2 linked regions of the Neurospora crassa OR74A genome follow. The protein of the gene in region 2 interacts with the protein of the main gene of each other region in a pairwise test. Links are inferred from orthologs where the notes say so. Each region holds a gene or a part of one and is shown on either strand. Other genes may lie near its edges.

Region 1 (4,068 bases), on a different chromosome or scaffold from region 2:
TTGAAGTGTTCCGGATCCATTCGGTCTCAACCCGGAAGAAGATCCACACCCACCGCCGGAACACTTCACAAAACTCGATCAAAAAGATCGAACTCTCGAAGTCGCTAATGGTATTGAGATGGGGGTGCAGCTTGATCATCCATGTGCACCGTAGTGCCAGATCCAGCGCGATGACGAAGTAGTACACCACGGGCTTATGGATCAGCAAGCGGCGCCGCAGACCAAACGGATGATCGGGAGAATTGCGTTCCTGTGCCCCAGCAAAGAGGGTGAGATCCCAATCCTTGGCAACGTCCCAGTAAAAGCTGTAGAGTGAGTTGAGCAGACACGCAACAATCCATGCACGGTACAGGCTCGTAGTTGGGGTACCGCTGGTGTTTGCGTTACGCAACATGGCGTTTAGAATGATAACAGGAAACGCGGTCGAGTACTTGGCCGCGTTGGCGAGATGTTGTCCACCCCAGCCCGTGGACTCCTTGAAAGGGGAATTTCGCACGCGCAGATATTCGATAAGACACTGGCGCAGCCGAATAGCGCTTGGTATCGTCAGGAGAAGTGGTACGAGATAGGTGCCGCCGCAGCTGCGATCGGGTCGGTCAGTAGCAGACCCATTCCGCGTGAAGAACATGCAGAGACATATGAACAGGTCCCCAAGGACCTTGGCGTAGCTGGTGAGAACATCAGCCAGCAAGATATCCCCAAACTTTCCATCCTTGGCCTCAGCCAAACCTCCCACACTGACGCGGCGCAGAGTTGCGAGTAGTCGACGTCGACCGGAGTGCGAAACAGACAGTCTTCGCAGGGGTAGCACGAAGAGGGCTGCGGTCACTGCCAAGTTGGTCATGGGAATCCAGTCATAGTCGATAACGCGTTTTGGATCGCGCCTGGTAAACGACCAAAATGTGAGAATCGAAACAGCGGAGCTTAGCGAAAGAAGAGTCGCAAGACGGTATGTCGAGTGGTGGTGAGGGAGCTGGGTTGGGCTCGATCTTCCTGGGTACCGGATTAAGGAGGGGACGTCGATCTTGCGATTATGGAGGAAGTGAAGGTTGAGGCCCCAGCCCCAAACAGCTAATCAACCAGAGATAGTCAGTTTACAACCGTGTATCCAGAGAGCAAACATACGGTAGGAAACTTGTATATACATACCTATGATCACGATGAAGGCAACCCGGTAGGGAAGGGGAAAGGTCAAGCTGAAGGAGTCGAGCTCCGGCTCAACCACGGGATCACCGTCCATTGCGCCAGGCAGCGGTCAATTTGCTGTCCGTCATGGAATGCGGAGAGGGAGAAGTAACAGTTGGACGCAAAGAAGAGTTGATAGGCTTGGGATCAAATTCCCAGCAGTAACGCGTTTGGAGTTTGTCAAGTGTCAAGATGGAAATTTTAATTTCATCTGTATTGTGGTAGCTGTCGCAAAGACACCGGAGTTGCCAAGCCCCTGTCGCGTGCACTCTTTTTGGCTTAGGGAGAAGACCCGACGTCAGTGCAACCCCTGGTCGCGGCCCCGTCCTGTGACAACCCGCTGCATCATCCCTGCCGCTAAAGCCTGGGCTACGACGTTCTGGGCACCCCCCTGCCAATTCCTCAGCTCGCTCCTTGTGAGGAGGAACCACGCCTGGGGCGGCGCCGGGCGTGCTGCCCCCATTAACCCCAAGGACCGAGGTCCATCCGTTCCCGACTACCACTTTCATCTCAGCTTCAACTGCCGCCTGTCGATCTCGAAACATCAAACAACAACTCGGATAATTTCAGATCGAAAAGACTTAATCATCCACTGCCACAGCTTCGACGATTCGACTGTAGGCATACGAGCTCTCCTAGGGTTCGAGAGTTCCCCCTGAATACGTCGACCGTGTAAACACAGCTTTTGACCCCCCCGACTTCGAGCCCACCCGACCCGACCCAAACGACGACATCAATTACCATGTCATTGACGGCCACCAAGAAGCCTCCTCCGCCGCTCACGAGCTCGCCATATCCATTCGCTGCAGCCCCCGACATTATCCGCGCGCATCAAAAAGATGCCTATTTCCAGGGCGTCCTCACTAACCAGCTGACCGACCTTCACCGGCGCGTTCGCGGTGCCCGCTCCGCCCACTCCTGGGCCACCGAAACCCGTACGGCTGCCGACCTGCTCTACCTATGCCTCACCACCCTCCTCGGCAACCGCACCTTAGGCGAGGAGTACTGCGACCTAGTCCAAGTCGAAGAGCCGAGTACGGGCGGCAACGGCAGGATACCAGACACCCAAAGCCCCGTCGAGCCCAGCAGCGAAGCCGGTGGCCCCCGTCTGCCCTCGCTCCAGCGACGAGCCGGCTACATCGTTAGTAGCGTTCTTGTCCCCTACCTTTTCAGCCGCCTGCTGCCCTCCATCCGCGCCGCGCTCCGCAAGCGCCTCCAGGACCGTCTCACCGTGCTTGCCCGCCAGGGCCGCGGCGACACCAAGGGCGCCACCCCATCTACCTCCAACAACAAGGGCGGTGGTTTCTCCACAGTGTCAACGCTTGAGTACCGCGTGAAGCGCTACCTGCTCACACACCTGACTTCCATCACCAGCGGCGCGCACCTGCACGCCTTGACGCTGGCCGTATTCTACTTTTCGGGTGCTTACTACTCTTTCTCCAAGCGCCTCTTCGGGCTGCGTTATGTGTTCACGCGGCGCATCGAGGAGGGTCAAGGCGGTCGCGCGGGCTATGAAGTGCTCGGCGTGCTGCTGGTGGTGCAGATGCTCGTCCGGGGATACCTGCATGTGACGGCGCAGCTGTCGTCAACTTCGCCGCTTAGTGCCGAGGAGGCCAGTACCGAGGCGAGCATTCGGGAGCGCGCCTTTGGGCCGGGCGCTGCGGGCACACTGGATGTGTCGTTAGATGAGAATGCCTATAGCAGCAATAACGAGTTGCTGGTGGAGACGGGCAAGTCGGGTAACCAGCGTAGTTTGGCGGAGATTGGACGGACGACGCACACCCCTGTGCCCAAGGGCGGGAGGGCGAACTACGACTTGGCGGCGAATGAGGAGGTCATGGGCTGGATCAAGGGGAGACAGCAGAGGATGTGCACGCTTTGCTTGGAAGAGCTGAAGGACCCGGCGGCGACCCAGTGCGGACATGTCTTCTGCTGGTCGTGTATTGGAGACTGGGTGCGCGAGAAGCCTGAGTGTCCGTTGTGCAGACGTGAGACGATGGTACAGCATATTCTGCCATTGAGGGTTGCTTAGAGCAGTCCTTTTCTGGCGGTCGGGGGGGACAAAATACTTAATATACGGGAGATATGACAAAAAGCAGGAGTCTTACAACGTCCTCTCGAGAACAGATTTTGGGTAGTATTTGCACATGACAAGGAGCGAACAGTCAACAACTGCGGTTTAGGGATAATTGTATATGCAGCAAGCATATTGCCAGGAGAGAGAGCCTGTTTTCGTACATAGCCTAATGATTGAATGATCCGACATATTCTCAAAAGGTCAGGAACTTTTGACAAGCTAATGCACATATGTTCAAGTATGAAATTGAATTATTCCTTGTCCGATATTAATATTTGGTATTTACTCTACAAAAACTTCTCTTGCTTGATTAATATCGAGTCTCGTCCCGTTTGGGTCTTAATCAAGACCCGAGCAACCTCGACATAGGTCCAAAGGGTCATGAAATACATACACGAGGTGCGAAAGAGAAAATATGACACCTCAATGAAAGCCTCAAGTTCCGACCCATCTTCAAGCATCAAGCCACCAAGGTCGTGGTTGTCGTACTTGTGCTTCGCTGTCCCCCAACAGCTCGTAATCGTGGACGCTTTCGCGTCATCAAGATCGTGGGCACATCATATGCCTCCCCTTCAACAGAAAGACCCATTTACCGTATGGAATGAGGAGAGAGCGACGGCGCGGATTTCGTTGTCGAATCGAGCTATTTCTTTTCGGGGTCTCCTGAGGAAACCCTTTGGATGAATTCTGCGATGGCTTCAAAGTAGCCTTCTTCGAGGACACTCGAGTTATGGTCGCCGTTGGGAAGAGGCTTCCAGATCTTTATCGGAGCGTTGGAGAGATGATAAAGCTGCTTCATATGAGTG
Region 2 (4,361 bases):
CGTCGTGTTCAAAGACCGACTGACGCCCAGGGAGTACCAGAACCCGGGGCGGGAGACGAGCGCAAGCGGCATGCTGGTGCAGTAGTCGAAAAGCGTGGCGATGCAGCCGCCGTGCAGGGTGCCGTTGCGGTTGCAGTGGGAGGGTTGGACGACGTAGCGGAAGTAGGACTTGGGGTGGGGAAGACCAGAATCGGCCGAGATGAGTTTTAGGTGCGGGAGGAGGGGGGTTGTGTAGTCCTGCTTGTCATGTTAGTTTGTTATGTGGTAAAAGGAAGGAGAACTCTTATGGAAGAAATTAGGGAAAAGTGAAGAAGGTACTGTAGTAAGTGAAGAGTGAAGAGTGACGCACATGATCGCTGATATCACCGCTAGAAGCCTTTTCGAGTTCTCGTCGGTGTAGTTCGAGTATTCGTTGCTCGCCCGTGTATGGCAGTAGACTTGGGTCGACGGTAGTGCTTGGTGGTTGTACTGGTACTGGTGCGGGTGCTGGTGCGGGTGCGGGTGCTGGTGCTGGTGCTGGTGGTGCTGCACTTCTTGGTGGCTGCTGCTGCTGCTGCTGCGGGTGACGACTTTGTGAATGTTGACTTTGTGGATACGGTAGTAGTGGTGGTGGTGCCGGTTGCTGAAATTGCTGATATTGTTGGTGTAGATGGTGTAGATGGTGCAGATGATGATGTGGATGTTGATGTTGACCACCACCACCGCTCTTTGGTGGTGTTGCTGGTGGTGGTGGTGGTGGTGGTGGTGGCGGTGATGCCGACCCCTTTCTTCCTTCTTGACCACCGGCCATAGTATTTTCTTGCTCCTCTTGGGATGCTAACGAAACAACAACGACTTCAGATGTCTTTACTGGGCGATGATAAGTACGGATGGTCATCTTTTATCTCCGTGAGCGACGAGACGAGACGATAAGACGGGAAGGGAAGGGAAATAAGAATGATAAGATTGTGGCTTGCAGGTCCGGTGTTTCACTGTGCCGTCCGTAATGGGATGCGCGGCAGGGAAGGGCGGTTGTAGATTGCCGTTAGTAGAGGTAGTGTAGTCTCGTAGTGTGTATGTAGGTAGACGGGAGGGAGGTAGGTAGTTGCCTTGGTCGGTGTTGGTTAGTATCGATGTACCACACACACACAGGAACCGGCAATAAGTCAAAACAGGGAAGTAGTAGGTAATTTATCAATGTAGTGTTACCGGCGGTACAAGTAGTAGGTAGTAGTAGTAGGTATGTGTAAAAGAGCGGGATGGAAACAACACCGACAACGGATGCCCGACAACTCGACGGAATCGAACCAAAGCAAAAGAGGAGAGGGGGGTATCCATGCCTGCCGTGACTACCTAGCATAGTAGCAGTAGTCTACACTACACATCACAGGCACAGGGGGGGATGATTGGGGATGAATGGGCAAATGGGGTAAACTGGCGGGCATCCGTTGCAACCCATTTCTTGGGGTACATGAATGACCTGACAGCCTCGGCTACCTGGCAAGGTCCAAATGGCGGCGGCGGCAAGCAAAAGCAAGCAAGCAACTACACTAGACAGCGACGGGAGCACCCACAGGCCTCCACTGCGCTGCCCGACTTTCAGCTGTCCACTCACAGTGCTACCAAGTGCCACTTTTGATGCGTCGCGGCATCCACTCCTTGGCCCCGGTCTGAGTCCCCCCCCCCTTGTTCGAACTTCCAGGAGGTCGAGGTCCAGGTCCATCTCGCCCCGTTTCTTTCAATTCATCCCAATTATATCGTGAACTTGACTTGACATCAACAAATCCATCGATGGAAACCACGACGGCGATATAATACTAGTAAAACGTCACACCGACCCCCTATCACTACGCGCGACACTGGAACATACCGAAAGAGGAACCTCGAACTCACCCCCTCTCGATACAACCGGCGGGAGCCTATCCCATCCCATCCCATCCCGCCCCCGATAACCACCAGACCGTAACAATACCCAACCGGGCACCGTCGCAACAACCATGGAATTCGTCACCGCCCTCCGCGGCACCTTCGACGACGGCAAGCCCTCCCTCTTCGAGCTTCTCTCGGAACAACAACTCGCCTCCCTCCTCCCGCCCACCCTCCGCTACCTCCTCACCGTGCTCACCCACCGCTACCCGCGCCACCTGCTGCGCATCCTCAACTCCTTTGACGAGCTGTACGCCCTCGCGGGGCTGCTCGTCGAGCGCCACTACCTCAAAACCCGCGGCGGCAGCTTCACCGAGCACTTTTACGGCCTCAAGCGCGAAAAGGCGCTGGCCGCCGAGATCCCGCGCGCGGCCTCTTCGGCGCCCAACCTCGTCCGCGACGCCCTCAAGCTCTCCGATGTCGACATCTGGAAGAACCTGGCCGTCATGGTCGGGATCCCCTACCTGAAACGCAAGCTGGACGAGGCCTACGAGATCGATGCGCCGCGCGCCATGTTGGGCGGCCAGTACACGCGGCCGCCGGCAAAGGGGGCCCCGATGAAGGAGCGGTTCTTGTATTACTACCGCTGGTTTCTACGTAAAGTGTACCCGAGCTTGAACGCGGCGTATTACTTTGCCATCTTGGCGTTTAACCTGGGGTATCTGTTTGACAACACAAAGTACCATAACCCGTTTTTGTGGCTGATCGGGACGCGCGTGCGGCGGATGAACGGGGCGGATTATCAGGCGATTGAGGCTCTAGAGAAGGCAGCGGGGGCCGCCGCCGCTACCTCCAGATTAACAGGGGGGTCGATGTTCAGTCCGAGGAATATGAGTCGAAGGCTGATGGGCGGTCTGTCGCTGGTGCTGCCGACGAGTATTTTTGCGCTCAAGTTCCTTGAGTGGTGGTACGCTTCGGATTTCGCCAAGCAGCTGAGTCGCAAGGCGGCGGAAAGCCTGGATCTGCCGCCGCCGACGGTGACGGGGCTGGTGGAGGCGCAAGCGAGGAATAAGCCTAAACCCAAGATCACGAGGACGTCGGAGGATGGTGTGGAGGAGAAGGCGGATGAGGATGATGAGGCAGAGGAGGAGGCTAGCAGCAAGGAACCAACGCCCGAGACGGCGCCTATAGCGGCTTCGACGCTGTTGCCGATTTTCACGGTGCCACCACCCAAGAGATCTGATATGTGCCCTATTTGCGAGGACGAGATCCAGACGCCGGCGGCGTGTCAGACGGGTGTGGTCTATTGCTTTTCGTGCATACACAAGTGGATGAGCGGGACCCATGTCAGGCAGGAGAAGTTCATGACGAAAGAGCGCGAGGGCAAGTGGGAGAGCGGAGAGGGGAGATGTGCCGTCACAGGAAGGAAAGTGCTGGGAGGGACGGAAGGGCTGAGGCGGATCATGGTTTAGCCGGAAAGAAGATATTGAGGATGATGGATTGGCATGAGTTGTGAAAAGCGAACATTAGACATTATTTAATGGTGGCATATAATCTGGCAAGTTGCATAACCAACATACCGCAAACGAACATGTAAAACTGGACATGCTTACTGGTCAGACAATCAGATTCCTCTATCACCTCGTGGTCGATGAAATGTCAACAGCCATCTTCTTTTTTTTTCTGTACTGCCAAACCGGATGGTTCACGTACGAACAACACGAAGCTCATGCAAGAAAAAAAAAAAAAAAAAGGGGGGGGGGGATCAGAATGTCTATCAACACCGTTTCAGTAACTCGATTAATCTACCTGTACGTACTTCGCGAATCCAAAAAGGCAAAAGAAAGATGCGGTTTGTGTGGATCGAACACACGACCTTCAGATTTATGAGTGAAGTGGACTTCAGTCTGACGCTCTCCCAACTGAGCTAAACCCGCTTTGTTGTTGGACTCTAAGTGCCAAACCTTAACTCATATGGTAGCACCTACCACTTTGCCTGCCATGTTGACCAAATTCGCAATGAAAATGGAATTTCCCATCTTCCTGTATGTCTGTCTACGTCTTGCTTGACGATAATTTCTTTCAGATTACTAGCTAGTCAATTATTTGCCGTGATGAGAAGCGCTATCTAGTGTAGTTGATTTTACTTCAAACCCTGTAGCAAGTGGATGGCGATGTGATAGAGTTCGGTAGGTAGGTAGGTAGGTATTATTGCGATGCTTCTCATTGTATAACCATATACATACGACCACCAGTGAATATTCTGCCTTTCTCTGCCTGAAGAACGCTGTCTTGACTAGGTAGCTGTCTATGGAGAGAAAAAGAGAGAAAACAAAGGGGTAATGGAAATGGAAATGCATAGAGTGTATATATACCTCTACCGAACGAAGTCCTCGTGCGAGGAGTATAGTATAGTAGATAGAGAAGAGAAGAGTGATATCTTGTTGCAAATGCGCTCCTCCCTCCCTCCCTGAAAAATCAAAGGACGGTCTCCTTCCAGCAGTTCCCATTGAAAG

The links.
Region 1: the proteins of pex12 (region 2) and pex10 interact in binary tests that used the Saccharomyces cerevisiae proteins (3 or more experiments, as listed by UniProt). The link is inferred for Neurospora crassa OR74A from reciprocal best matches to the Saccharomyces cerevisiae genes PEX12 and PEX10.

Annotation. Positions count from the first base shown.
Region 1 is NC_026501.1:5,159,109-5,163,176, reverse strand, and holds pex10 (RING-1), read left to right. Parts: upstream 1-1,654; 5' UTR 1,655-1,927; coding exon 1,928-3,217; 3' UTR 3,218-3,551; downstream 3,552-4,068. Other genes in the region: NCU03278 (protein-ER retention protein), read right to left, coding at 1-1,071, 1,150-1,240; bem46 family protein, read right to left, coding at 3,906-4,068. UniProt on the Saccharomyces cerevisiae protein: E3 ubiquitin-protein ligase component of a retrotranslocation channel required for peroxisome organization by mediating export of the PEX5 receptor from peroxisomes to the cytosol, thereby promoting PEX5 recycling.
Region 2 is NC_026504.1:5,625,235-5,629,595, reverse strand, and holds pex12 (peroxisome assembly protein 12), read left to right. Parts: upstream 1-1,651; 5' UTR 1,652-1,976; coding exon 1,977-3,317; 3' UTR 3,318-3,706; downstream 3,707-4,361. Other genes in the region: NCU05244 (thioesterase), read right to left, coding at 1-237, 350-877. UniProt on the Saccharomyces cerevisiae protein: Component of a retrotranslocation channel required for peroxisome organization by mediating export of the PEX5 receptor from peroxisomes to the cytosol, thereby promoting PEX5 recycling.